Linked DNA regions of Anolis sagrei. The protein of the gene in region 1 binds, or shares a complex with, the protein of each later gene. Links are inferred from orthologs where the notes say so. Each region holds a gene or a part of one and is shown on either strand. Other genes may lie near its edges. The genes, in order: PRIM2, PRIM1, POLA1 and POLA2.

Evidence for each region.
Region 2: the proteins of PRIM2 (region 1) and PRIM1 are in contact, whole or in part, in a crystal structure (PDB 5EXR), measured with the Homo sapiens proteins. The link is inferred for Anolis sagrei from reciprocal best matches to the Homo sapiens genes PRIM2 and PRIM1. Residues at the interface, in NP_000938.2 of Homo sapiens: Glu165, Ala168, Ser169, Pro171, Ser172, Phe188, Ala189, Leu192, Phe195, Arg196, Gly197, Arg198, Val200, Tyr201, Leu202, Glu203, Asp204, Gly205, Phe206; in NP_000937.1 of Homo sapiens: Lys147, Glu148, Asp149, Phe150, Gly151, Phe152, Ala180, Val181, Gly184, Ile185, Glu187, Tyr188, Ser190, Leu191, Lys193, Lys207, Ile208, His209, Pro210, Ile212, Arg213.
Region 3: the proteins of PRIM2 (region 1) and POLA1 are in contact, whole or in part, in a cryo-EM structure (PDB 8G9F), measured with the Xenopus laevis proteins. The link is inferred for Anolis sagrei from reciprocal best matches to the Homo sapiens genes PRIM2 and POLA1. Residues at the interface, in XP_018121015.1 of Xenopus laevis: Pro34, Pro35, Thr36, Glu37, Asn38, Ile39, Ser40, Leu41, Ile42, Phe44, Glu45, Ile49, Ile107, Phe110, Ile111, Leu114, Cys117, Gln118, Ser119, Glu120, Asp121, Arg123, Ala240, Arg241, Leu243, Val245, Val246, Gln247, Arg251, Leu252; in NP_001082055.1 of Xenopus laevis: Leu842, Lys853, Ile894, Pro895, Glu896, Leu971, His974, Arg977, Glu978, Leu981, His982, Glu985, Gln988, Lys989, Asn991, Glu993, Asn1007, Asn1009, Arg1101, Asp1102, Glu1106, Gln1109, Glu1221, Asp1224, Gly1225, Asp1227, Ala1229, Leu1230, Met1233, Trp1234.
Region 4: PRIM2 (region 1) and POLA2 share a complex: the UniProt entries of both Homo sapiens proteins name them as parts of the alpha DNA polymerase complex. The link is inferred for Anolis sagrei from reciprocal best matches to the Homo sapiens genes PRIM2 and POLA2.

The regions. Positions count from the first base shown.
Region 1 is NC_090021.1:118,613,115-118,620,422, reverse strand, and holds the start of PRIM2 (DNA primase large subunit), read left to right. Parts: upstream 1-4,308; 5' UTR 4,309-4,552; intron 4,553-7,308. UniProt on the Homo sapiens protein: Regulatory subunit of the DNA primase complex and component of the DNA polymerase alpha complex (also known as the alpha DNA polymerase-primase complex) which play an essential role in the initiation of DNA synthesis.
Region 2 is NC_090022.1:137,140,674-137,147,647, forward strand, and holds the start of PRIM1 (DNA primase small subunit), read left to right. Parts: upstream 1-3,972; 5' UTR 3,973-4,019; coding exon 4,020-4,122; intron 4,123-5,558; coding exon 5,559-5,716; intron 5,717-6,974. UniProt on the Homo sapiens protein: Catalytic subunit of the DNA primase complex and component of the DNA polymerase alpha complex (also known as the alpha DNA polymerase-primase complex - primosome/replisome) which play an essential role in the initiation of DNA synthesis.
Region 3 is NC_090023.1:86,499,185-86,506,134, forward strand, and holds the start of POLA1 (DNA polymerase alpha catalytic subunit), read right to left. Parts: upstream 3,018-6,950; 5' UTR 2,859-3,017; coding exon 2,813-2,858; intron 1-2,812. UniProt on the Homo sapiens protein: Catalytic subunit of the DNA polymerase alpha complex (also known as the alpha DNA polymerase-primase complex) which plays an essential role in the initiation of DNA synthesis.
Region 4 is NC_090032.1:10,785,362-10,793,008, forward strand, and holds the start of POLA2 (DNA polymerase alpha subunit B), read right to left. Parts: upstream 3,024-7,647; 5' UTR 2,979-3,023; coding exon 2,882-2,978; intron 1-2,881. Other genes in the region: CAPN1 (calpain-1 catalytic subunit), read right to left, coding at 5,832-5,858. UniProt on the Homo sapiens protein: Accessory subunit of the DNA polymerase alpha complex (also known as the alpha DNA polymerase-primase complex) which plays an essential role in the initiation of DNA synthesis.

The DNA.
Region 1 (7,308 bases):
TCAACAACCCCCAGGATCTCATAGCATTGCGCTGTAACAGTTTAAATAGTGTCAGACTGCATTACCCTTACAGCATAGATTCAGCTGTGGAAATGAAGGAGTAGCGATAGGTAGGTAGCTACAGTTCCTGTGGCAGGTGGTTAAAGCTTCTTCTGAACTAAACAACATCAGTGCAAACCTGCAAAAGCACCAGATTGCAAAGGTGGGCTTAAGCTAGATAATGATTTTCACCTCTGTTGTCCACATAGAGTGCATTATGGAAAGTACATAATGCAAACATAGTAAACCATAGCTGTCCTGTAGATTAATAACTCTCACTGCAATGTGGAATCAATCTAGCCAATCTGACAGTCGATTTAATAACAAGAATTCTTCAAGAAATCATACTGGGAAAGGAAAACCACTGCTTCATTTTAAACACCTAATGGTGCATTATTCTAGTTCTAATATAGCAATGTAGTGTTAAATAAACAAAGTGCTCTTGTAACTGTTGTTGTTACCTAGTCATAAGAAAAATGGTTTAGTGCTTCTCAAGTTTTTTTGCATCTGCTTTTCTACAGTCTATTTAAACTCTACATTCCTTTTTTATTTTTTATTAAAAAAACTAATTTGTGTGAACTTGGCATCACACAAACTGATTATTTCTGTAGTGCATTGAAGAATGCTGCTATTACTTCAAAGTGAACAGGGCTTGCTTAAAATGTACCAGCAATAATTAACCTCAGTAATTATTTCTATTAATAGAAGTAAAGAATGCATTTTCCTATCTACAGATCACCATTACCATTACAGTGTGTGTACTATTCCAAAATATAACTTCAAGGATTGAGTAAAGAACTATTATTTATCAAGTGGCAAATTCATCAGGACTTTTGGCTGCTACAACAAAGTAAACTGGCAAATTGCCACAGGACTCTTGGATTACTGGAAAAGGAAGAAAGTTAATGGCTGGCAATGCAAATAAAATAAAACAAAACATTGCTCTTGCCTTTTCAAGACCCTTGAAGAAACAAAACAAATGTAAATAAAAAAGCAAAAGCCTAACTGCCTGTGTTGTCTGTAGACACCTCCAAGGTCATGTAGCTAGTATGAGTGCATAGAGTGCTGGTACTTTCCTGCTGGAGTGGTACCTATTGGTCAACTCACACTGGCATGTTTTCAAAGTGCTAGGTTGGCAGGAGCTGGGGCTAACAGTGGGAGCTCACCCCACTCCCCAGATTTGAACCGCCAGCCTTTTGGTCAGCAAGTTCAGCAGCTCAGTGGTTTAACCTGCTGCGCCACCAGGGACTCCCAGTGTTTTAAGTGTAACTCCAGCTCTCTCTCTCTCTCTCTCTCTCTATATATATAAACACACACACACACACATTTGTTAGAGCTGAATAGTATAGGGAAGGGTTAACTTCCCCATGGTGTTTCTTTTGCTGTCTATGCCCCTGTTCAGAAGATTCCACCTCACATTCTGTCACTGTGAAAATTGGATTTTGGAAAATGTCGCATGTTGTGGAAACAAGGATTGGTGGTAAAGTTTCAGTGGAGACATCTTTTCCCGTGATAATAACTTTTCCAGGAATGAATTTCCCTTCAGATTTCTCCCACTTCCTGTCTCATCCTTGTTATTAACTATGAGTTGTTTGGAAGTTGGATGTTTGTAACTTGGGAACTGCTTGTAAATAATGGCTTATGACCAGTGTAGCTTGAATGCGGTTTGACACCAGTTTTGCTGCCAGTGCTCATTCCTGTGGAATCATGGGATTTCTACTTTGGTGAAGGACCAGCATGATTTGGCTAAGAAAACTAAAGATGATGTAAAATGGCAGCTTCTTTGATTCCATAGCATTGAATGAAAGTGGTATCAACCCCAATTAAATCTACAGTGTAGACGCACCCAAAGACAGTTTGATACAGTGAAGCAGAATGGTTTTATTGATATATCAGAGTCACATGGCATTAATACTTCAAATATGGTAAGATGCCATGATTGTGATGGAACGCCCAAGCCTTTTGGGAAAAACTATAGTGTCTGGCTTTACTTGGGGGATATCGGTACACCTTCTGTTAAGATTAAGAGCCTTAGGAGACAGAGGCACTTTAGGCAAGGTGATAAGATAACCAAAATGAGTTTATTGCAAACAAGATGAATAAAGTGTTAACTCCAGATGAGACTATCATAAGGTAACTTAAAATGATATATTACAAAAGAAGCCTTTCCTGGCTCTGGAGTCTTTGAAAGTTTCCTGCCTCTGGTGCAAAGCGATGGTTATAAACTGACTCAATCTTCTTTCTTGTGAACCATGAGTTGGTCATAAGTTTCTGTTGTCCTTTGGACAGATGGTGTAAAAATACTGCTGAATGCAGGTACTAAGGGTGCCTGTTTTTGGATTGCTAGGCCTAGGGTTACTAGACAATCCCAAGCCTAAGTCACAGTAGCTCTGCTGTAGAAAAGAAGGAGGAGTTCAGCAAGAGAGCTCTGTACAGGGAAATGGAACAGACTAACTAAGGCTGGCCTCTGGGGAGGTGTTATGCTCCACCCAAAAACTAATACAAAGGAAGGCATCTACAGTATTGGGAAAATCTATGAACAGGGGGAACTAAAGCAGAGGAGAGGAGAAGGCAAGACATCACAGTGCTCATATTTATACACACTTCATTTATTTCTTGTGAAGCATGAGCTGGTCATGAGCTTCTGTTGTCCTTTGGCCCCCAACTTAGCAGCCTTCAAGAAAAATCTGAAAACTTGGCTATTCTGATGTGCCTTCAAAGAGTGACCATTTATTCCATCTCTGTCTGCTCCATCCATAGTGGTGTCCCCGTCCTAAACTGGAATAACATAATTTTTATAATTTTTTTTATCCTACCTCATCCAGGGTTTTATCATTTTACCTTGTCCATTTGGCCTGCCCATTTTGTTTGTTTTTATGTTGTGTTAATTTGCTTTATAGATGTTATTTTTGTTACTGCATGTATTTTATTCTGATGTACTTTATGTTGTCTGTAGTGTGTATTTTAGTTTTGCTGTATTTGTACCTTTGGGCTTGGCCTCATGTTAGCAGCCCCGAGTCCTCTTCGGGGAGATGGTGGTGGGGTATAAATAAAGATGATGATGATTATTTGGACTGCTGGTATAAAAATACTGCTGAATGCAGGTACTAAGGGTACCTGTTTTTGGATTGCTAGACCTAGGGTTACCAGACAATCCCAAGCCTAACTCACAATAGCTCTGCTGTAGAGGAGTCCAGCAAAGAGCACTATACAGGGAAATGGAATAGACCAACAAAGGCTGTCCTCTGGGGGGATATTAAGCTCCACCCAAAACTAACACAAAGGAAGGCATCTACACTATTGGGGAAACCTATGAACGGGGGAACTGAAGCAGAGGAGGGGAAAAGGCAGAGCCAAGTCTTCACACGGATGATGTTTGTGATACTATGCATGCCTTCTCCTACATCAAAGGATTTACACACAAGTAAACTTAGGGAAGAAGAGGAGGAGGAGGAGGAGGGAAAGAAAGGGAAAGAGAACAAACCTTGGGGCAGAAAGAGGAGCTTCTCTTAGTGACACGACCTCCATGCCATTCCTTGCAAATCCCAAGGCCTGGCTTAAGCCTAGCGCTTCAGTCAAAGAGACGGTTAATACTTACCGAGGGAAACGACTTCCAACTACTGCTTGTGCCTGCTAAGTCTTTTTCTTATTGCCATTAACGTAATGGAATTAGTTTTCTAACACGACCATCAAATGGGCGCAAAAAATGCATCCAGAAGGAACTGACCACATAAAACGCGAAGGAAAACATCTGTCCACCTTTTCCCAATGGGAGCCGGAAGTGGAGGCTGTACGCAGCGCTCACCTGATGCGCTTACCTCTATAGCCTCAGGGCGCGAGAACAGCCCTGCCTCCGCCGCTGGCCAAGGCCCTCCACTCCGACCCTCAGGTCCGCCTACTTCCGGCCTCGTGGGTTCCTTCCTGTCATTGCGTTCGCGTCGCCGTGGCAACCCAGAGATGCCGGCGGAAGAAGTCGGAGAGAAAGGGGCGGGGTCAAAACGAGGCTCCCAGGGAGGGAGGAGAGAGCTACGTCACGGGTAGAAAGGAGGGGAGGCGTTGCCGTGGCAACCCAGAGAAGCCGGCGGAAGAAGTTAGAAGGGGCGGGGTCAGAGCGAGGCGTTGAGGGGGGTAAGAGGCTACAGGCGGGAAGGGAAAGGTGTTGCTATGGCAACGTAGGAAAGTCGGCGGAAGAAGTTAGAGAGAAAGGGTGAGACAAGAGGAGGAAGCGAGCCTACGTCACTAGCAGAAGCGGGGGGGGGGGGAAGGACGTTGCCGTGGCAACCTAAAGAAGCCAAGTGGAAAGAGGAGGCGCTGCCTAAGCAGAGGAGGCCACGTCACGGGCAGAATGAAGGGAGGAGGCGTTGCCAAGGCAACTCGGAGAAGCCGGCGGAAGAAGACAGAAGGAAGAGGTGGGACCAGAACGAGGCGCCGAGCAGGAAGTGAGCTTACGTCACGAACAGGTGTTTTCGCGCGGGAAATTGGGATCTGACCCTCGCGCGCTGAAAAAGGGACAGTAAGTAACTTTTGGAAAGGTAGGCGGGCGCCAAAAAGGGAAGGAAGGGAGGGAGGGGGGTGCTGGTTTGGAGTTCCTTTCTTTTGGCCTTCCTTGTGTATATGTTTTCTCGAAAGGAAGACCTTCATTGAGGCCTGTGGGGCGTTCACCTTTTGCCACTGAGTATACACCCCCCAGTGAACTATATCTCCCTAAGTTCACAGCCATTTCTCCTATATATTGACAGACCCTTGGCTGCTCCTTCCTTCAGGGACTGACACAGGTACATCTTTGGAAACTACACCGTTGTTGTTCTTTGCCATACCTTTCCTTCCCTCTTTCTCTCTGCATCACTCCTAATTCTAGTTGTGCATTGCTCCCCTCTATCTAGACTCACATTTACCTTCTGCAGATCAGCTACTCTTCCTATATTAAGTTGTTAAATAAGAAGTAAGGGATGTGCAAAAGCATCATGGTCAAGGTAGGACATGCCGACTCCAGATAGTTGTACACCACTTTAACCAATCTCTTTAGCAGGACCTTACTGGCTTCATTGTTCTTTTTGTCACAACCATGTCTGTTATTCTTCCAGTTCGGTTGAGCTAAAACCCTGAAAATAAGAATAATAGCAATTAAGATTCTCAGCTAGAGAAGGACATACAAAATGCATGTTTATTTATTTACAACATTTATATCCCGCTTTTCTCACCCTGAAGGGGACACAATAGCTTACAAGTTATAAGTAAAGGTTTTCCCCTGACATTAAGTCCACTGGTGTCCGACTCTGGGGGTTGGTGCTCATCTCCATTTCTAAGCCAAAGAGCGGCATTGTCTGTAGACACCTCCAAGGTCATGTGCCCAGCATGACTGCATGGAGCTCCATTATATGTACATGCAATATATTATATTATTAGCTTAGCACAATATTAGTATTATGTATTACTATATTTTACTGTACCATTATATTGTAATATTATTAGTAATATTACATGTAATATGAAATATAAAATTATTATATTGTAGTATTATTACTATTGTATTACATCATAATATTATCAGTATTATATGTGTGTAGATTATTAACACAGCACAATATTAGTATTATATATTACTATATTGTACTATGTCACTATGCTGTAATATTATTAGTAATATTACATGTAATATAAAATATATAATTATATTGTAATATTGTTAGTATTATATTGTATTACATTATAATATTATAATATATTATATGTATACAATATATTATATTAGCCCAGCACAATATTAGTATTATATATTGCTATATTGTTACTGGGAGGAGGGACTCCCAACCGATGACTCAGGAGACATGGTGAGTCTTCCTGACTCCCCTCCTTCACTCTCCTGTTGAGATTAGTTTGTGGTTTTCTCCAAACTCTTTAACAGAATACTCTCAATAAAACACAGGAGATTGACCTGCCCTAAGTGTCCCAGTGGCATCAGATGTATTTATTATTTATTATTTATTTACTGTATTTATATACCGCCTTTCTCACCCCTGGGGGGACTCAATGCAGTTTACAACATGTTAATGGCAAAAATTCAATGCCAACATACAAGTAAAACAGGAAACCATAATAACTAACCACTACATATAACCAAGATTATGGCAAAAAGAATGATTGACAACTGGAAAATAGAGGGAGAAAATGTGGAGGCCATGACAGACTTTGTATTTCTAGGTGCAAAGATAGATGCAGACTGTGGCCAGGAAATCAGAAGACGCTTACTTCTTGGGAGGAGAGCAATGTCCAGTCTCGATAAAATAGTAAAGAGTAGAGACATCACACTGGCAACAAAGATGCGCCTAGTCAAAGCCATGGTATTCCCTGTAGTAACCTATGGATGTGAGAGCTGGACCTTAGGGAAGGCTGAGCGAAGGAAGATAGATGCTTTTGAGCTGTGGTGTTGGAGGAAAGTTCTGAGAGTGCCTTGGACTGCGAGAAGATCCAACCAGTCCATCCTCCAGGAAATAAAGCCCGACTGCTTACTGGAGGGAAGGATACTAGAGACAAAGTTGAAGTACTTTGGCCACATCATGAGGAGACAGCAAAGCCTAGAGAAGACAATTATGCTGGGGAAAGTGGAAGGTAAAAGGAAGAGGGGCCGACCAAGGGCAAGATGGATGGATGGCATCCTTGAAGTGACTGGACTGACCTTGAAGGAGCTGGGGGTGGTGACTGCCGACAGGGAGCTCTGGCGTGGGCTGGTCCATGAGGTCACGAAGAGTCGGAGACGACTGAAAAAATGAACAACATATAACTATGACTTAAAATCATTAAAACAATTAAACGTACAACATCAAACAAAATTTAAACATTAAAAGAAAGCATTAAAAACATCCAGGCATAAATATGAAGGTCACATCATCCAAAAATCCTACACCGTAGCTATTCTGATTGTCATTGCACATGTTCCTTAATTACTCTTTGCACTGCATAATTTTACTGGCCAAGACTTGGTCCCACAATCACGTCTTTGTTATCTTTCTAAAGGCATATCTGATCTTGAAGGCTAAACAGTGAATACCAGTTAATACCAGGTGCTATAGGCTGTATTAGAGGCCCCTTCCACACAGCTGAATAAAATCCCACATTTTCTGCTTTGAACTGGGATCTATGGTAGTGTGGACTCAGATAACCCAGTTCAAAGCAGATATTCTGAGTTATATGGCAGTGTAGAAAAGCCCTATGCCAGTCCAAGAGCTGCTGGAGTAAATCCCCTTCAATTCGTTTTGGGAAGCAAAAACA
Region 2 (6,974 bases), on another chromosome or scaffold:
GCTTCCTGCCTGCGGGAATCCTTTGTTGGGAGGTGATTAGCTGGCCCTAATTGATTCTTGTCTGGAATTTCTCTGTTTAGAGTATTGTTCTTTCTTTACTGTCCTACTTTTAGAGTTTTTCAATACTGGTAGCCAGATTTTCCTCATTTTCATGGTTTCCTCCTTTCTATTTAAATTGTCCACATGCTTGTGGATTTCAATGTCGTCTCTCAAAGAAAACTCACAGCAACCTAGTCTAGAGTTGCATGACTGATTTTGGGGTTTTTTTTAATAGTTAGTACAAGGCAGGCCACGTTGTAGAAAAGTCACCTTGTTAGCTGGGGATTTCTGAAAGTTCCAATCCAAAAATTGTAACTTTTCCAAAAGGTGAATCAGTACTGGAACATGGCAGCTAAAAATAATTATTAAAGCTCCTCCTGATCCGATGCCTCAATCCCAATCAGATTTTGGAGTTCCTCAAGTAGTGAGTATATGCTTAACAAAAAACAGAAGCAGCAGCCTCCCAAATGTTTCTTTTAGTCCCCAGTAAACATGGACAGCACTCGTTAATATTTGGATGGGAGACCACCAACAAATACTGTATGCTCTATTTCAGAGGAAAGAACTGACAAAAACACCTCTTGAGCATTCCTTGCCTAAAAAACCCTATGAAGTTCAGCAGGCAACTTGCACATACACACAGGGCACATCTACACTGTAGAATTAATGGATGCGGTTTTCACAGACAACACACAATGACATATATATGAGTATTCTTACACATGTTCATAACATTCCGGATTTATAGACATGTGCAAGAATCCTAAGGCGTTCTACTTCTAGTTCTACTGAAGACCTAAGAGCCCACTCAACGTCTATGGAAAATGGACGAGTGTAAAAAATGAATCTTTAAAGGCTTTGCATACCTCAGAATTCACTTCCCTTGTGACTGTCCAGCTGTTTGAAGTGGGACCATCTGCAAGTTAAAAAAGGCGTATGTAGTATATAAATAACCTTTAAAAACCATCCCACCCTACATTTGTATAGGGACTTGGGATAGGCTGCAAGTCAACAAATACTTGGTTCTTTTGCAAGTGCAGGTGAAAGTCCAAAGCATTGGCTGTATCAGCACCCTGCCCGCTCTGGCCAAGATCCAACTCTTTCCCCTCTATTGATTTAACTCCCCTGGTGATTGTGTGCAAGGACAGTAACTGTGTTGCTTGGCAGCTCCTTGAGGCCAAGTCTCCCGATTGCTTCACACTGCCGACTGAACCAGAATTAGTCCAAAGTTTATTTTGCAAATATTCATCTCCAGTTGCAATCACGGTGCATGACTAGGGACTGTCAAAAATGTCCCCAACTCATTAGAAATGTGAGGAAAAAATGGTCTAGCTTCCTATTTTATGATTGCCACTTTTTTTTTTTCAGAATGTTACTATTTTGTATATTCTTCCAGGGAAACAGCATGGTGGAGGTACTTGAGGACTGGACTCGCTCAGCCATGAAAACCCACTGAGTGACCTTGGGGAAGCGGAAATGTCCTTTTGGAGTTTTGTTATACAGCAGAAGGGACAAATGCTAGACACACATGCTAAAATTTTAAAAACCCAACTTCAGTAGTCTTCGGGAGAACGTGAGTATGATTCCATGATCAGGAATGCTACAGGAGTTCTTATCAAAGGATAGGAATTTGAGAAAAGTGAGATATCGGGTGACACAATCTCAAACAGTTGCAATTAGGAGGAAAAATAGGTGTCTAAAGCAGACCCGCACAATATATTATTATTATTATTATTATTATTATTATTATTATTATTATTATTAGATACATCACACAGTCCTAGACATCAAATACAAAAGCCAGCATACTGATTTGTTTAATACAAGATTAGTACACAGCAAGCAAGGTCACTATGCTGGCTGCTGTATTGGATCACATGTCGGACACTTCTCGAGTGTCTAGCACTGTGTGATGTATCGGCGAATAATGCAAGCAGATCCAGGTAGGATGGCCTTTTGCAGCTGACAGTTGGGAATTTTGCCTGGGCCAATTGTTTTGAAGTGCAGGCCAAGATTTTTAGACATTGCACCCAGTGTGCTCATCACCACTAGGACCACCTTTACTGGCTTGTGCCAGAGCATTTGCAGTTCGATCTTTAAATCTTCATATCATGTAAGCCTTTCCAGTTGCTTCTCGTCAACTCTGCTGTCACCTGGGATTGCAACATCGATGATCCATACTTTCTTTTTTCTATGATTGTAAGATCAGGAGTATTGTGCTCCAAAATTCTGTTTGAATTCAGAAGTCTCAGAGTAGTTTGACATGTTCATTTTGTGTAACTTTTTCAAGCTTGTGGTCCCACCAGTTTTTTTGTCGTAGCCAGGTGGTATTTATGGTACAAATTATTTATTATTTATTTATTTGAAACATTTATATTCCACCCTTCTCACCCCAAAGGGGACTCAGGGCGGAGCACAACATATATATGGCACGCATTCTGTGCCAGAACATAAAATATCTATAAATATATACAACACTAATATCAGTGGCTCCGGTCAGTGGAGTGCTTTCCTATTATTGCCTTATTCCATTATCCCAAAGTTCCAGTGGATCATCTGAGCAATGGTATTATGCCTCTGCTTATAATCAATCTGTCTGCGCGATCTTCTGTGTATGTGATCCATCGTTTCGTCTGCTTCCTTGCAGAGTCTACATTTGGAATCTGTCGTCGACTTTTAGATTCTGGCTGTGATGGCATTGGTTGTAATGGCTTGTTCTTGGGCTGCCAGAATCAGGCCCTTGGCCTCCTTTTTCAAAGTACCACTTGTGAGCCACAACCATGTTTTTTCTTTGTCAATTTTGCTCTCAATTTTTCAAAGGAACTGTCCATGGAGAGCCTTCTTTTGCCAGTTTTCTCTTCTGTTCTGCATTGTATTTTTATGGTATTCACTCTTTGTCTTTTGTACTTGAAGCAGTTTTCTACTATTGACTTCCATCAATGTTGGTGCTTGACTGCCTTTCACATAATTAGTGTGTGTTTCTCTTCTTCTACTGTTTCACTTGCAGAAGCCCTCTGCCTCCTAATATTTTGGGCAGGTAAAGTCTGTCAACACCGTCATTATTTGATACACAACAAGATTAGCAACCAGCAAACAAAATCACTATGCTGACTTTTGTATTTGATCACATGTCGGACACTTCCCAAGTGTCTAGGACTGTGTGATGTATCAGTGAACAATGTGGGCAGATCCAAGTAGGGTGGCCTTTTGCAGCTGACAGATGGTAATTTTGTCAGTGCTGATTGTGTTTAAGTGCAGGCCAGGGTCTTTAGGCACTGGGACTACCTTTACTAGCTTGTGACAGAGTCTTTGCAATTCGATCTTTAAATCCTCATATCGTGTACTCTTTTCCAGTTGCTTCTCATCAATTATTGTTGTTGTTGTTATTTATACCCTGCTTTTTCTCTACAAGGTGACTCAAAGTGGCTTACATTAGCATTTCAATACGACTGAAAATCTACAAATATACACATTGTGCTTTTAATTATTGTTTTTCAAGATGAATATCACATCAATACAGAGGTTGTGGTATGGTTAGTTCTATTTTAATAAGTCACTCTCAAGCAACTGGCATCTACAAATCCGACAGGTGCCGCTTAACTGAGGCTTGTGATCAAATACTAGCCTTATAATCCAGTTTAAGAATGTGGATTATCTGCATTGAACAGTATTAGATCAGTCTACACTGCCCTACAATCCAGATCTATGCACTTAATCCACATTCTAAAACTGAATTAGAGGCCAATGTAGGCCTGACCTATATTGTATTTCGGAGGGAGCTGTAAAGTGCTTCTAAAACCGACCACTAGAGGGCCTCCAAAGCCACGTGGGAACCCTTAAGTCTCGCGGGGACTACAATACCCACAATGTTTTGGGGATTGCGTCAGGGAAGGCGGGGGCGATTCTGATTGGCTCTCCGAGCTGTAGGGGGCGGGGCCCTGCATTTTCCCGCGCGATTCCCTCCTTCCTTGCGAGGGATCATGGCAGAGTTTGACTCGGGCGCTTTGCCGGACTTGCTGCCCCTTTATTACCGCCGCCTCTTCCCCTTCGGCCTTTATGGACGGTGGCTGCGCTACGGCGACGGTGAGGCCTTTGGTCCGGGCAAAGGGGGGAGACTGCAGCCTGCCAACGAAAGTGCCTCTGAGCATGTACAGAAATCGGCTATGTCCAAGGATGCATCTACACCAGGCGTGGGAAAACTTGGGCCCTCCAGGTGTTTTGGACTCCAACTCCCACCATTCCTAACAGCTTCAGGCCCTTTCCTTTTCCCCCTCAGCCGCTTAAGGGGCCTAAGGGTGTTAGGAATGGTGGGAGTTGGAGTCCAAAACAACTGGAGGACCAAAGGCTTTGCAGCCAAAAAGGCTCCACAGAAATGGCACTACAAGGCAAACATTGATGACATCTGGCAATGTAGAAGTTACTGGGGAGATACAAACTTAGCTTTTGGTCCTTTAATCTAGAACAGGGAAATTCCAGCTGTTCCGATAACTCAAAGAATCCTAGAGTTGGAAAAGACACCAAGGGCCATCCAGTCCAATCCCATTCTATCATTCAGAAACACAATCAAACCCCTCCCGACAGATCAGCCTCTGCTTAAAAACCTCCAGAGAAAGAGGCTCCACCAATCTCTAGTAGCATATTTCACTGCTGAACAGCTCTTATTGTCAGGAAATTTAGGGGTGGGGTTGTCTATTTGAATTTATAGCTCTGCATTAGGTTCTCAGGGGCAACTGTCACAGAATCCTGGGATTTGTAGTTTGGTGAGGCACCATCACTCTAGTAGAGAAGGTTAAACGCCTTGTAAAACTACAACTCCTAGGATTCCATAGCATTAAGCCATGGAGCCCCCCAGTGGCACAGCAGGTTAAACCTGCTGAATTTGCTGACCAAAAGGTTGGTGGTTCATATGTGGAGAGCAGGGTGAGCTCCCGCTATTATCCCCAGCTTCTGACAACATAATTTGAAAACATGCAAATGTGAGTAGATCAATAGGTTCCGCTTCTGTGGAAGGTAAGGGTGTGCCTTGCAGTCATGCTGGCCACATGACTTTGGAGGTGTCTACAGACAACTCCAGCTCTTTGGGTTTGAAACAGAGATGAGCACCACTCCCAGAGTCGGACACAAGAAGACTTAATGTCAAGGGGAAACCTTTACTTTTAAAGTGGTGTCAAGTTGCATCAACTCTAGAGTGTGGGTGAACCCTAGGAGAAGAGATGCCAAATGTGGCTGGCCTTCCGTCAGGGCTGGTGGAATGGGCTTGGTTTCCTTACCTGCCACCCTCTGCAGATTACGTGCATCAATTGTTACCACACAGCAGAACTAGAAAATATAGCACTTTCAGCATGCTCAATGAACTTTATCTATATCTTGTATTCTTACAGCAGTTTGTGAGAGTATTTCTCTGTTATTTCTCAGCATTTTGCCAAAGGCTATCATAGAAGTTTATGAAAGAACGGATGTTCAATGGAAGAACTTCTTCACTGTTTTTATATATAACTAAGTCTTCTTCTTTCTTTTAGTGATGAAAAATTACTTTCAGCGGCGAGAGTTTTCATTCACGCTCCGCGATGATATCTATGTGCGGTACCAATCTTTCAACACACCCCAAGAACTGGAGAAAGAGATACAGAAAATGTGTCCGTACAAAATTGACATTGGAGCCGTGTATTCACACAAGGTATTGAAAATGGTGGTAGAGTAATAGAAACAGTGGTTGTATAGAAAGGATCTCTGAAAAGGATTTTAACCTATCCCTTTTCTTTATGGTAGATGAATGCTGTCAGGAACTATTTCTATATACTAGATTTCCACATTTTCTTGTAAAATGCCACTAGAGTGTGAATTGTACTCAAACTTTTGCCATTGCCTGAGTATTTTTATAGTTCAAGTATGTGCATTTTTCGAACTCATCTTGTCTTCTAAAGCTCAAATGCCTTTTTCCTCAAGAGACACAGGCAATTCCCAGCTTGCCTCTACTTTACTTCTGTAAGTTTCCTTTTCTATAGTTTTAATATATTCATGTGGCCAAAATAGCATCGCCTTCCCCCATAAAGGCAGCCTGAGCCAGCTTATGAACCCCAATGTTCACAAACTATTATGCTGACTGGCAATGGCAAAGCAGAGAATCTGTTTGAGAAGGGATTCAATGGAGTATCATGGCAAATGGAACAGCTGACGCAATCACTTTGCCTTGTAATGTTTTGTTGCAAGGGCCACAGATACCATAATGATGCCTGATACTACCATCAGTGATACATTGTGCAATGATCTATTGTCTCACTAACTACCCAAAGCCAAACATGACAGATAGAGGGCTGGATGTGTATTTGGGGATGAGTGGGACACTTGGAACTACATCTATGAAACCTGGGAAAATACAGCTGCTTGCTTAATGATGTGTATAGTAACATACCATTCACAGATTGTCTCCTCCTTGATATTCTTGCTAGGATGCTAGAGTTGGGTGATTGGTTTGAACAAACAGAACATGCCATTTGGACTGTTTGTTGTTTTCATGCAGACGTAGAAGAATATAGCAGAGAAAGCAGACACCTTTCTTCTAATGTTGCTCAAAGGCCTAGTTGTGATAGAAAAATAGGGAACTCCCTTATACCAGATCTGACTATACCTAGGCCAGTCTTGTTTTCTCTGCATGTCAATGACTTTCAAGGGTTTCAAACACATGGACTTCCCATCACCTGTTATCTGATTCATTTGACAGGAAATGCAGGGGATTGAGCGCTGCAGGCCTCTGTCAGTAAAACATGCTATCTTGTTGAGGTTGAATATATCTTATCTCCAAAAGAGACACAATAGACATGTAGCAAAGTGCTCAACACTAACTATTGGGTCTACAGCCCAGAAGTGGCTGTATCCAACCATTGAGGCATTCCATTCTACACACAATTATTCACTGAAATATCACCTGCCTAGTA
Region 3 (6,950 bases), on another chromosome or scaffold:
TCCAAGCCAAATATTTATTAACAACAGAGAGCAGCTTCACACATTCTGTTGCTGACTGCTTCTGCCACAATTTCTCATTCAGTAATTCCCTCATAGTACTATTGTAGGATTGAGTGATACAACTATTAGATCAGTCTAGCTATGTTATCCTGTCAAGGGATTCAACAACTACTCTGTCATTACCCAGCTTATTTCTAGATGCTGGACATTTGGGGGACATTAAAAATGTAGCTCTTATCTCTACAGAATCATTCCCTGGAGTCATCAGAAACTGCATGGCATTTCTAGTGGTCTTTTCAATATCTCACTGAGAGTCATCAATCATTTTGATTAAAAATATTACATGATTTAATGTGTGTATCTTTGGTAACATTTATTTATTTATTTGGTACATTTGTATACCGCTAATATCTCAGCCTATACGGCGACTCATTTAAAAGAATAGAGCATTTAAGGCTTTGACGCTTGTACAATTATGTGTGTGCCTTCAAGTTGCCTGACTATTTATGCAACCTGCTTAATTCCATAGGGTCTTCTTAAGAAATAAATACTGTACTCAGAGGTGTTTTTGCCAGTTTCTGCCTCTGAAACATTGCCTACATCACCTGACAGAGATAAAGTATCACCTAACACAAATTCTTGGGACCAGAAATGTTTTGGATTTTGGATTTTTTCAGATGCTGGAATACCTGTTATTCACAAATATGTACATAATGAAATATTGCGGATAAGAGACTTAAGCCCAAACACAGAATTCATTTATATTTTACGCATACCTTATATACATAACCTGAAGGTAAAGTCATACAATATTTTTGATATCCATTTAAAAAGTCTGTGTACCATCAAAAAGCAAAGATGTCTCTGGCTCAGCTACTAATGTGGACAGTGCTGGAATATTTTGGAATTCCAGATAAGGGATGCTCAACCTCTATTCGTTAGCAGTCTCCCATCCAAGTCCTAACCTGATTGAGCCCATTTTGCTTCCAAGATTAGACAGGACCTTAACCCAGCAGGACTGAATTCCAATAAAAATGTCTATGATTGCACCAGCCCTTAAAGCATATTTCAGAAAAGATATGAAGACCTCAGGATAAAGGGATTCGAGAGTGAGGGGTCTCATTTATTTTCTTTGTTGCTGAGATTGTGGCGTTACACTCACTTATTTGGAAGTAAGCTCCAGTACAGTTAATGGGGACATAGAGAGAGATATATATACATACACAAAGAAAGGCAACGCTGTTAGCTGGGACTCAAGAAACAAGCAGAAATAGTTGTATACTTTAAATAAAAAATAAAATAAAATCAGCAGTTATAACCAGTTTTTATAATACAGTAAAGCTATGTTACTTAATGTGTCTTCAAAGGCTTTCATGGCCAGAATCACTGGGTTGCTGTGAGTTTTCCGGGCTGTACGGCCATGTTCTAGGAGCATTCTCTCCTGACGCTTGTACACATCTATGGCAATCATCCTCAGTGGTTGGGAGGTTTGATGGAAACTGGGCAATGAGGTTTATGTATCTGTGGAATGTCCAGGGTAGGAGAAAGAGCTCGTGTCTGCTTGAGGCAAGTATGAATGTTGCAATTGGTTATAACATTATAACATTCCACACACACACACACATATATATATAAACCTCACTTGAGATAGATACACCATGAAAACAAACACAATCTTGCTACTAGTATTGAAAAAAACTCCAAAATCAGGTAAGTAAACAATGAACACTAGAACACTAGGGAATTCCAGACAAGAAACAATCAGGGCCAGCAAATCACCTCCCAACAAAGGATTCCCCTAGGTAGTAACCAGCCAGGCTTTGAAGCTGCAAGGCCATTCAGTGCAAATAAAGGTGTCCAATTGCAACATTCACACTTGCATAAACAGACAAGAGCTCAATATACTGTCGAAGGCTTTCATGGCTGGAATCACTGGGTTGTTGTAGGGATTTTTTGGGCTATATGGCCATGTTCTAGAGGCATTCTCTCCTGACGTTTCGCCTGCATCTATAGCAAGCATCCTCAGAGGTTGTGAGGTCCTCTGAGGATGCTTGCCATAGATGCAGGTGAAACTTCAGGAGATAATGCCTCTAGAACATGGCCATATAGCCCGAAAAACCTACAACAACCCAGACATGAATTCTTTCTCCCACCCTGGACATCATTCCACAGATATATAAACCCCATTCGCGTAGTTTCCAACAGACCTCACAACCTTTGAGGGTGCTTGCCATAGGTTTGGGCGAAACGTCAGGAGAGAATGCTTCTGGATCATGGCCATACAGCCTGGAAAACTCACAGCAACCCTGTGTCACTTAAGCTTGTCTTTTAATTACTGTGTTTCCAATAGAAATATGAAGTCAATGCAAGGTTTGTGGCATGGGTATAGTATTAGGCCTATTTTTTAAATAATAACTCTGAAGCATCCAGAAACAACATTTATCCGACACATATGGATGCCGGTTAATTGAAAGTCTATTGTATACACATGTGTGTATGTGTGTGCACGCACACACAGGCTTGTATTGTGTGTTGCTTTCTCTCCTAAGAGAGAAAGGGCTTATTTATCCAGATCAGAAGCTTGCTCCGTTCAACTAGAGATGAAGGCTGCCACATTGCTGCCATTTTGTTTGAAACAGAACCCCCCTCCCCAATTTCGCAATGGTACTGGCCCCAGGTTCCCATTCAAACCCCTTTGTAAGAGCAGGCGCAACCACTCCGAACCGGAGGGGGGTTCTGACACTCCCTAGCTTCTCTCTTTTATTCGAACCCTCCATTCCAGCCCCCCTCCCTCCGCAAAACCCACTCTCACCTCCATGGCAACCGGCCCCGTTGCGCGCGCTCTCACTGCCCTCCATTGCAGCTCTCTCGCGCCAAAGCGCCTGAAAAGTGGCGCGAGAAAAAGAGACCCAAGTGCCCCGGCCAGGCGGCCAGCCAATCAGAAGCCGCGGTGACGATATCCGTCCTTCCCATTCCGCTTTGGGGTCGAGAAGAGGTTGAGCCTGTCAAAGCTACGGCTGAGGAGGAAAAAGCGTGCGCGCGGGTTGGTGGAACAGAAAATAAAACCACACCGCGTCGGCTTTATGTGTGGTTTTCAGTATTCCGAATGTAGCAAAAGGAGCGCGGGCGGGCCAGAAACAGGGAGGAGTGAAGTTTTTATATTTATTTATATCTTGCTTTCAGCTCTGGCAGTTAAAGTGGTGTCACACTGCATTAATTCTACAGTGTAGATGCACCCAAAGTAGTGTTCTAGGGTCCTCTTCACTCTGCTCACCCTTAAAAAAAATCAGAATGCTGTTTAGCTTAATATCTTTGAAGCATGAAGGAAACATGTTACAAAGTAATAGAAAAATACATTGAAATTTACTTAGGTAAAGGTAAAGGTTTTCCCCTGACATTAAGTCCCGTCGTGTCCGACTCTAGGGTGTGGTGCTCATCACCATTTCTAAGACACCTCCAAGGTCATGTGGCCAGCATGATTGCATGGAGCGCCATTACCTTCCAGCCAAAGCAGTACCTATTGATCTACTCACATTTGTATGTTTTCAAACTGCTAGGTTGGCAGAAGCTGGGCTGACAGCGGAAACTCACGCCGCTCCACAGATTCAAACCTGCAACCTCACGGTCAACAAGCTCAGCAGCTCAGCAGTTTAACTCACTGCACCACCGGGGGCTCCCTGAAAATAAAATAAAAACCATGACACCAAGAAATACACACACACATACACATAGGGATGTGTTATTGTGGGTCATAATCCAAAATCAGGAGGAGAACAAATTACGAAATAGCTTCATCCAATTCATTGGACCTTATAAAGCTCTTATAAATACAGGAAGCTGGAGCTGACAGACAGGAGCTCATCCAGCTCCTTGGATTCGAACCTTTCGGTTAGCAGTCTTGCCAACACAAGGGTTTAACCCAGGCATGGGCAAACTTGGGCCCTCCACGTCTTTTGGACTTCAACTCCCATAATTCCTAACATTCCTGAGGGATTTGAGGGCTTAAGGCTTCTAGGAATTGTGGGAGTTGGAGGATCAAAACACCTGGAGGGCCCAAGTTGTCCCATGCCTGGGTTAAATCCTTGTGTCAGCAGGACTGCTAAGGGAAAGGTTCGAATCCAAGGAGCATGGTGAGCTCCCATCTGTCGGCTCTATCTTGCCATGTGGGGCCATGAAAAAAGCCTCCCACAAGGATGGTAAAACATCCAGGCGTCCTCCTGCAACGTCCTTGCAGACGGCCAATTCTTTCACACCAGAAGCAACTTGCAGTTTCTCAAGTCCCTCCTGACATGAGGGGGAAAAGCTACTGTACCAGGTTTTGCCTTCCTTTTTCTGACCATATTTTGGCTGACAGAGCATCCAAAGTTCCCCTTGCAGGCTTCCTTGTGTGGAAAAAAATAAGACTTGCTCACTCAGCCGTAATAAATGCAGGAGAAAGTTTTGTCATTCACTCAGTGCCAGATTTTTGGCCCATGACACAGTTAAATTTTCAAACCGAAGCTGTTGCCATAGTTGCAGCACAACTTAAACAATAGCCTTTTCATCCTGGCCCAACACTTGCTGGTGCAGAAGGAAGCTCCCATTATCCCTTACTTGTTACTTCTTAATTTCAAATAAGTATGCTGGCTCTTTCTGATCTACAATGCCAAATAATATGTAGTAAGTTTTCCTTCCAAATGTGCATGGCCAAGAGGAGAACACCAGCCAGCAAACTGGGGTCATCCTTTTGTAAATAGCGTTATCTTCGGTGGATTATGTCTACACGATCTTTAAACTTTGTTGGGACCGTCATAGAGAACAACTTGGCACAACCTTTGTCCGCCTCTTTCAGTGAAAAAAAAAAAAGAAAATTGCTGGATTTTATCAAGTCACTTGGAGCAACTTAATATTCACCCATTTTCGAAAGCAACATTGGTGGAGAAGAAAAGGCAAACACTCCAGCAAGGATGGTGGGCCGTCAAAAACGCAAGATAGAAAAGGAAGCCACGTCTCCTAATTCCTACAAATGCCAGCGAAATGTGAGTTACACTTCTATTTTTTTTCCTATCACACATTATTATAAAACTATTACCACTAAATATGACTCTGTTTGTTTTATTTAAACTTTTATAAGCCATATTCTTAAAGAAAAGGGGCACGTGAAGGACTCCTGTAAAAGTGTGTAAAATTAAACAGTACAAAATGTAAAATAAAATAATTATCATTATAATAAAATATTACAAAATTAAATAAAAATAAAGCTTCGTTACTAGGGTGCCGTGGTTGTGCTGTGGTTTAAACCACTAAGCTGCAGAACTTTCTGATCGGAAGTTTGGTGGTTCAGATTTGTAGACAGGGTAAGCGCCCATTGTAAGCGCCAGTTTCTGCCTACCTAGCAGTTTGAAAACTTGCAAATGTGAGTAGATCAGTAGGTACCGCTTCGACAAGAAGGTAACAGCGCTCCATGGAGTCATGCTGGCCACATGACTTAGGAGGTGTCTACAAACAACTCCGACTCTTAGGCCTAGAAATTGAGATAATCGCCACCCCGCAAAGCCAGACACGAGTAGACTTAATGTCAAGGGGAAACCTTTACCTGTATCTTACTTAGCACTATGGCCCTACATCTCACAGAAGATGTATGGAATGCTTGAGATTATGGCTTCAGAACAGATACATAGTAAGAGACAACTGCATACATCGTTAGTTGATTGTAAATGTAACTTATAAAAGTTACTGAAAATAATAGGGGTGAGATCTCTCTTCTGGTTTGACAACACTTCTCAATAATAATAATAATAATAATAATAATAATAATAATAACAAAGCACTTTCTGCCTTCCTGCATGTAAGGCACAGTCAAAGCACTACTGAAAGATGGCCATCCATTCTTAATAATTATAATAATAATAATAAAGATAATAAATATAATAGTTTTAACCTGGAGAAGGAAAGAGGGGGGAAAGAGAGGAGGGGTGAGATCTCTCTTCTGGTTTGACAACACTTCTCAATAATTATTATTATTATTATTATTATTATAACAAACCACTTTCTGCCTTCCTGCATGTAAGGCACAGTCAAAGCACTACTGAAAGATGGCCATCCATTCTTAATAATTATAATAATAATAATAAATATAATAAATATAATAGTTTTAACCTGGAGAAGGAAAGAGGTTAGGCAGGCAACAGGCAGGTCTCTGAGTGCTGCACTGCTGTGTCTCTTTGCCCAATGCACGCAGGCCAGAGTGAGGAACGAGGTGAGGTGACGACAGGAGGAGAGGAGAATTTGATCCACTTAAGCAGAGGCCAGGGACCCGGAAGTGGGGTAAATGCTTGCAACCAGGGAGAGGGGAGGGAAACAACTATAAAACTTGCACCAGACATACGGAAATAATAACGAAACAATTACAAAACAATTACGAAATAGCTTTAAAAATTCGTTTCGTTTTTTAGTTGCTCCTGAATGGTTTGTTATCGCTTCGTTATCAAGAAAAATAACAAATTATTAACGAATTACGAAATTAACGAACGAAACCGCCCAGCCCTAGTAACTACCAGCAGGTCCAACCAAGCCAGAGAGGTCTCAGCTGTGGAGTGGAACCAAGAGCACCTAACCCATTAGCACTATGGAGAAGCAAACCAAAAACGAAGTCTATACTGGCTCGGTCGACGCCCAAGATAAACAGGACCGTGGTGGATGCTGCTGATTCTGGACATCCATTGACAAGTGGGCTAAAGAATCAAAATACAAATGAACCATCACAGAAGCGGCAGAAATATACAATGCCAGAAAACCGCACAGTTATGAAAGTTTACTATTATTATTATTCTGCCTCCATCGTCCACCTTTGCTGCTTTGTCCTGGGATTTTGCAGCCCCCCAGATGGGTTTTTTTATTTAAAAATCTTAAGATGTGAATATGCAAATCATTGTATAAGTTCCTGGGTTATACAGTCTGCCTGGCCATCT
Region 4 (7,647 bases), on another chromosome or scaffold:
GTGTGTGAATCATATCTATCTATATCTATGGCTGGATGGGTCTTTGTCAGGAGGGCTTTGATTACATTTTCTGGCCCTGGTGAAGGGAGTTTGTCTGGGTGGGCTTAAGTATTTTCTGTTGGTTATGGGGTTTCATTGTGGGAAGTTTGCCCCTATACAATATATTATATTATTACCATAGCACAATATTATTATATACTAGCCACCCACTTCCACGCGTTGCTGTGGCCCACATGGAGGTTCTGTGTGGGAGGCTTGGCCCAATTCTATCGTTCGTGAGGTTCAGGATGCTTTGTGATTGTAGGTGAACTATAAATCCCAGCAACTACAACTCACAAATGTCAACATTCTGTTTTCCCCAAACTCCACCAGTGTTTACATTTGGGCATATTGTGTATTTATGTAGAGTTTGGTCCAGATCCATCACTGTTTGAGTCCACAGTGATCTCTGGATGTAGGTGAACTACAACTCTAAAACTAAAGGACACTGCCTGCCAAACCCTTCCAGTATTTTCTGTTGGTCATGGGAGAACTGTGTGCCAAGTTTGGTTCAATTTCATCATTGGTGGGGTTATATATAGTGGTCCCCTGCCACGCATTGCTGTGGCCCAGTCTGCTGATCTGGAAAATAAAGTAATGAGAAAGTGTTGGTTTCTAATATATGTAATGTCTTGATGCTTGTGGGTAAAACAGTATTTCTTGCTGTTTCTTTGCCAGTGTTGATGTGGAGAGTGTCTGGTTTACCCACGCTGGAACATGCAACATATCATTGCCCTTCTTTAGGGGTCCCTTTCAAATCTTTGATACTGCATCTGTCATATACTTATATGTGTGTGTGTGTGAATAGCTGGATGGCCCTTTGTCAGGAGGGCTTTGATTATGTTTTCTTGCCCTGGTGAAGGGAGCTGGACTGGATGGCCTTAAGGCAGCCTTTCTCAACCTGGGAAGTCAAGATCCCAGGGGAGGGTCACCAGGGGAGTGTCAGAAGGGTCACCAAGGACCACCAGAAAACAAAATTTTCTGTTGGTCATGGGGGTTGTGTGGGATGTTTGGCCCAATTCCATTGTTGGTGGGGTTCACAATGCTCCTTGATTGTAGGTGAACTATAAATCCCAGTAAGTACAACTCCCAAATATCAAGGTCTATTTCCCTCAAACTCCATCTGTGATTATATATTTGGGCATATTGAGTATTCGTGCCATACACACATATATGTATATGACAGATGCAGTATCAAAGATTTGGTCCAGATCCATCATTGTTTGAGTCCACAGTGCTTTCTGGATGTAAGTGAACTACAACTCCAAAACTCAAGGTCAATGCCCACCAAACCCTTCCAGTGTTTTCTGTTGGTCAGGGGAGTTCTGTGCGCCAAGTTTGGTTCAATTCCATTGTTGTTGGAGTTCAGGATGCTCTTTAATTGTAGGTGAACTATAAATCCCAACAACTACAACTCCCAAATGACAAAATCCTAATTTTTTGAGTGATGGTCACTCCTTGTGTTGTGAGACGTTTTGTTGCCAAATTTGGTGTGATTTTGTTCATTGGTTCTTTTGTTTTTAAGGTACTCATTATGCACAGAACATTTATATATATAGAGATATTGCATTGTACTATAACATTATACTGTAATATTATTAGTAATATTACATGTAATATAAAATATATAATTATAATATCATTTTAGTAGTATCATAGAATCCTAGAGTTGGAAGAGACCTCCTGGGCCATCCATTCCAACCCCATTCTGCCAAGAAGCAGGAATATTGCATTCAAATCACCCCTGACAGATGGCCATCCAGCCTCTGTTTAAAAGCTTCCAAAGAAGGAGCCTCCACCACACTCCGGGGCAGAGAGTTCCACTGCTGAACGGCTCTCACAGTCAGGAAGTTCTTCCTCATGTTCAGATGGAATCTCCTCTCTTGTAGTTTGAAGCCATTGTTCCGCGTCCTAGTCTCCAAGGAAGCAGAAAACAAGCTAGTAGTAGTAGTAGTATATTGTATTACATTGTAATATTATCAGTATTATATGTATATATAATATATTGATGCCTATATGGGACTGAGGATCCTGGAACATGCAGTTCTATCCCTTGATATTTTATTCATGGATGTTTTCCCATCAACAACACAAGATGCCCATTTGATCAAGCAACAACAACACAAGATTCAATGGACAATGAGGGGGAAAAAACTGTGATGCAGCAGCTAAAGAGGCCAAGGCGATTCTAGGCTGTATCAATAGGAATGTGGTATCCAAATTGAGTCACAGGCGAACAATTCAAGAGAGGTACTGACAAGCTGGAATGTGTCCAGAGAAGGGCGACTAAAATGATAAAAGGTCTGGAGAACAAGCCCTATGAGGAGCGGCTTAGGGAACTGGGCATGTTTAACCTGAAGAAGAGAAGGCTGAGAGGAGATATGATAGCCATGTATAAATATGTGAGAGGAAGCCACAGGGAGGAGGGAGCAAGCTTGTTTTCTGCTTCCCTGGAGACTAGGACGCAAGGGAACAATGGCTTCAAACTACAAGAGAGGAGATTCCATCTGAACATTAGGAAGAACTTCCTGACTGTGAGAGCCGTTCAGCAGTGGAACTCTCTGCCCCGGAGTGTGGTGGAGGCTCCTCCTTTGGAAGCTTTTAAGCAGAGGCCGGATGGCCATTTGTCAGGGGTGATTTGAATGCAATATTCCTGCTTCTTGGCAGAATGGGGTTGGACTGGATGGCCCATGAGGTCTCTTCCAACTCTTTGATTCTGGGATTCTATGATTCTATTAACTCTATTCTGCTTGGGTCAGGCCTCAGCTAGAATACTGAGCCACAACTGAGTTAAAGCGGTGTCAAACTGCGTTAACTTTACAGTGGGGATGCAGCCACTTACACTTCCCGGCCAGAGCGCCTTCGTCTTCCCCTTCGGCGACGTCAAGGCCGAAGACCTTCAGCTCGGCCACCACAGCCTCCAAAGCTGGAGACTCCATTGCTTCTGGTCGCCCTTTTTTTCCCGCCACCTTTGGAGGGGAAAGCCACGCCCCTAATCACCTTATATGGAAAAGGAGGCGGAGTAAGCTCCTTGTGAGTGGCTGCTAAGGCCTTGAATGGGCGTGGCCTAGGGTGAGTCAACGCTCCAATGAGAGAACTTCTATGCAAAGTATGCCTAGTCTTCCGGGTTTTGTGGACACCCACTCGAGTGGGCGTGGCCAAGTGCGTGCCAACGCTCCAATGGGAGCACTTCTATGCAAAGTAGGTCTGTTCTTCCGGGTTTTGTGGACTTCCACTCGAATGGGCGTGGCTTAAGGAGAGCCAACGCTCCAATGGGAGCACTTCTATGCAAATGAAGTCTGGTCTTCCGGGTTTTGTGGACTTCAGCTCGAGTGGGCGTGGCCTAGGGCGAGCCAACGCTCCAATGGCAGGACTTCTATGCAAAGTAGGTCTGTTCTTCCGGGTTTTGTGGACTTCCACTCGAGTGGGCGTGGCTTAAGGAGAGCCAACGCTCCAATGGGAAGACTTCTATGTAAAGTATGTCTGATCTTCCGGCTTTTGTGGACTTTAGCTCAAATGGGCGTGGCCTAGGGCGAGCCAACTCTCCAATGGGAGGACTTCTATGCAAATTAAGTCTGTTCAGCGCCTTCCAAGTTGCCCAGTCCTCTGTGTGCCCAGGGGGGAGTTGCTCATTTGCTATCAGCCATTGGTTGAGGTTCTGGGTTTGAACCTGCCACTTTTGGACTCTCGCTTGCTGAGGTGTTCCAGCGAGTGTCTCTGTAGATCATAGAAAACTACAGAGACGAAATGATTTGCTTTTACTAATGTGTTATGGTCTTAATTGATATGTAAATGCTTTTAAATGTTTTAAATGTTTTAATGATGTTGGCATTTAATTGTTGCCTTGTGAACTGCCTCAAGTCGCCTGCGGGCTGAGAGGGCCGGTATAAAAATGTAGCAAATAAATATACAAATAAATAAATAAATAAATGTGTCATTAACTTTCTTCGCTAATGATTTTAGGTGTCTTAATTAAGAAGTGTCTTATGTTCTGTACAATTATTTTAAAAATATCATTGTGTTAGAGACCCTAAATTGGGTCTTCTTAAGTCCACATCACGGGAACATGTAAGGAAGGAGACAGTCCCAAAAAAAGATCAAAAAACAAGGTTTAGTTTCTTCATGAAGAAGACGGACAGCCTGGCAGCATACGCAGATGCTACCCTTCCAGTGACTGCCGCACCCCTCCTCTTTTTCTGCTGACTTTTATACTCAAGTAATAGGTCATGGAAAGTACTCTCTTTCCAGCCCCTCTCCGTTGACCTTTTGATGAAAAGTACCTTCTTGTACCTGCAGACTCTGCACTTAACCACAACCGTTGAACTTAACCATAACACAACTTCCGACTTCTACATGTTGCATCTTGTTTCTTAAAAATATTTTCTTCCCTGTTGCTCCTTTTCCACAGAGAAAGGGTATGTTTATCTTTTGCTGTTAATTTCATTCAAAGCCCTTTGCTTAGCATTTGCAAATTTCACTCAAAGACCCTTTCAATTGAACTGGAACTCTCAAGCATCCAGCAAGAAAAACAAAACAAAACAAAGAAACAATATTTTAAAAAAAGCGTAAGTCATAAAAACCAAAAAGGATTTTTGTCGTAGCAACTTTATTCCTTTATTTACTTTGGCAATAAAATATGTCTTTTTTTTTTACTACAATATAAAACAGAGAAAAACAATCAAAAGGAAGAAGATAAAACAGTAGTACCCAGGATGAGGATGTAAAAATGAATCTCAAGAATGGATCCTCCGATAGGATCGAGCAACAACTTTTCGTCTCGGACAAAAAGCGCCCCGTTTTGGCATTCTAAAAGCAACCCGAAGACCCCCCAAAGGGCATCTATGCATCCCCATAACAAGCAGAGAGAGATGTAAGTATGCTTTTGGGCTCCAAATTCCTCAATCGGAAGAGGACATAAAGCATCAGCAAGCACTAATATGCTTCTGGAAAAAATAAAGTGTATATCGATATATATTTGCACGCACACGTATACAGGAAATGACACACTTTTGTATTTGCACCATTGCTTTTCGGGTAGAAGGGAGAAGATAAGACTAGATCAGGCTTGGGCAAACTTGGGCCCTCCAGGTGTTTTGGACTACAACTCCCACAATTCCTAACAGCCTACCGGCTGTTAGGAATTGTGGGAGTTGGAGTCCAAAACACCTGGAGGGCCCAAGTTTGCCCAGGCCTGAATTTCCTGTAAATAGGGGAATTTCCTGTAAATATGGCAAAGCGTGGGAAAGTGTTCCAAGGGTCCAAGTTGGCATGGAGAGTGTCTTTATATGTATATATATTTGCATATTTATATATTCTCCTCTTCTCCTTTAATAGCACAAAAGATGAAAGCAAGCTCATCTCATGCTTAAGGGCAGGAGAAAATCCAAACTGACGAACCAAAGGATGACCGTCTTCCAAAATATGAAGCCGACGTTGTCTTCGGTCCCGTTACCATGGCACGTAATGGAGAAAGACGGTGTCGCGTGGTTCCTTGGCGTCGGAGAGCAGGAAGCGGTTCCGTGAAGCGGGGTGGCTCCCGAGGTCACGCGTGTCCAGGCACAGGTGGTGGGCGTTGCAAAGGCAATGTGTGCGGAGTGCGTGTGTTTGAGTGTAAGCGAGGGCCCTCCCTCCTTTGCGGGAAGAAGTGGCAGCAAAATAAGAGAGAAATCAAAGGCAACAAGCCATCCCATTGTGACGCAAGGCACTTGCAGGTACAAAAATAATAATAAGAAAAGGTGTCCAAAGAGGAGGAAGGCCAGGCAGCCGTGCGGGGTTGGCTCCGTTATCTTCTTTCAGGCAAACATGGTTAGCTGTATCCACTGGAAGAGAGAAAAAGGAGGAAAGACACGTCCATTACAAAACTCTAATGATGTTTAATTGTGTTTTAATGTTTATATATCTGGAGATTTTTAATCAGACTGAAATGCTGCTTTGAGTCTCCATGTGGAGAAAAAAAGCAGAGTATTAATAATAATCTATATAAATAAAAAACGTAATGGGTTGTTGTAGGTTTTTCCGGGCTATATGGCCATGTTCTGGAGGCAATTTTTCTCCTGACGTTTCGCCTGCATCTATGGCAAGCATCCTCAGAGGTAGTGAGGTCTGTTGGAAGTAGGAAAAATGGGTTTATATATCTGTGGAATGACCAGGGTAATGTTTCAGCTGATCACCTTGATTTGCATTCAATGGCCTGGAAGCGCCTGGGGGGAATCTCTTGTTGAGAGTGAATTGATGTGCCTGATTATTTGAGAACACAGAAGTGCTGGACCACTCTCACAACCACCATGTCAGACTACACAAAGAAGCCATTGAAATCCACAAGCATGTGGACAATTTCAACAGAAAGGAGGAAACCATGAAGATGAACAAAATCTCTCGCGAGCCGCTCGCTCGCCCCTCTCTCGAGCCGCTCGCTCGCCCCTCTCGCGAGCCGCTCGCTCGCCCCTCTCGCGAGCTGCTCGCTCGCCCCTCTCCCTTCCAAGGAAAAGTAAGCTCGCCCTCTCAGCAAGCATCGGCAGGCGGCCATCTTAAGTATTTCCGAAATGGACGGAAATACAAAATTTTTTGGCGCCTGCCGTTTCAATATTTAAAAACTTTTCCAGGTTAAAAAAAATGTTTTGTTATCGTTTCGTAATTCAAAAATTAACGAAATTTTTAACGAATTACGAATTAACGAAACGAATGGCCCAGCCCTAGTTGATATTGATGTGTTATTATCCTGTATATTATGTTGTTTAATGGGTTTTTAAATTTTTTATGCCTGTTGGATTGACTTTTTTGCTCTTGTTGTGAACCGCGTTGAGTCGCCTACGGGCTGAGAAACTGCGGTATACAAGCAAAGTAAATAAATAAATAAATAAATAAATAAAAGATATAAACAGATATACACACACACAAAACACATATACACAGACTCGGCCACAGCACCGCATGGCAGGGGATGGCTAGTAGTAGTAATAATAATAATAATAATAATAATAATAATGTATTGTCGAAGGCTTTCATGGCCGGAATCACTCAGTTCTTGTGGGTTTTTTTCGGGCTATATGGCCATGTTCCAGAGGCATTTCTCCTGACGTTTCGCCTGCATCTATGGCAAGCTTCCTCAGAGGTGAGGTCACCTCTGAGGAAGCTTGCCATAGATGCAGGCGAAACGTCAGGAGAAATGCCTCTGGAACATGGCCATATAGCCCGAAAAAACCCACAAGAACTGAATAATAATAATAATAATAATAATAATAATAATCGGTCGCTTGAGTTTTCCGGGTTGTATGGCCATGTTTCAGAAGCATTCTCTCCTAACGTTTTTCCCACATCTATGGCAGGCCTCCTCAGAGGTTGTGAGGCCCATTGGAAACTAGGCAAGTGGGGTTGATATGTCTGTGGAATGTCCAGGGTGGGAGAACGAACTTGTCAGTTTGAGAGAAGTGTGAATGTTGCAATTGGCCAGCTTGATTAGCATTTAATAGCCTGGCAGTTTCAAAGCCTGTCTGCTTCCTGCCGGGTTGAATTCTTTGTTGGGAGGTTTTATTTGGCCATGATTGTTTCCTGTCTAAACCCCACTTACCTAGTTTCCAACAGACCTCATGACCGCTGAGGATGCCTGAC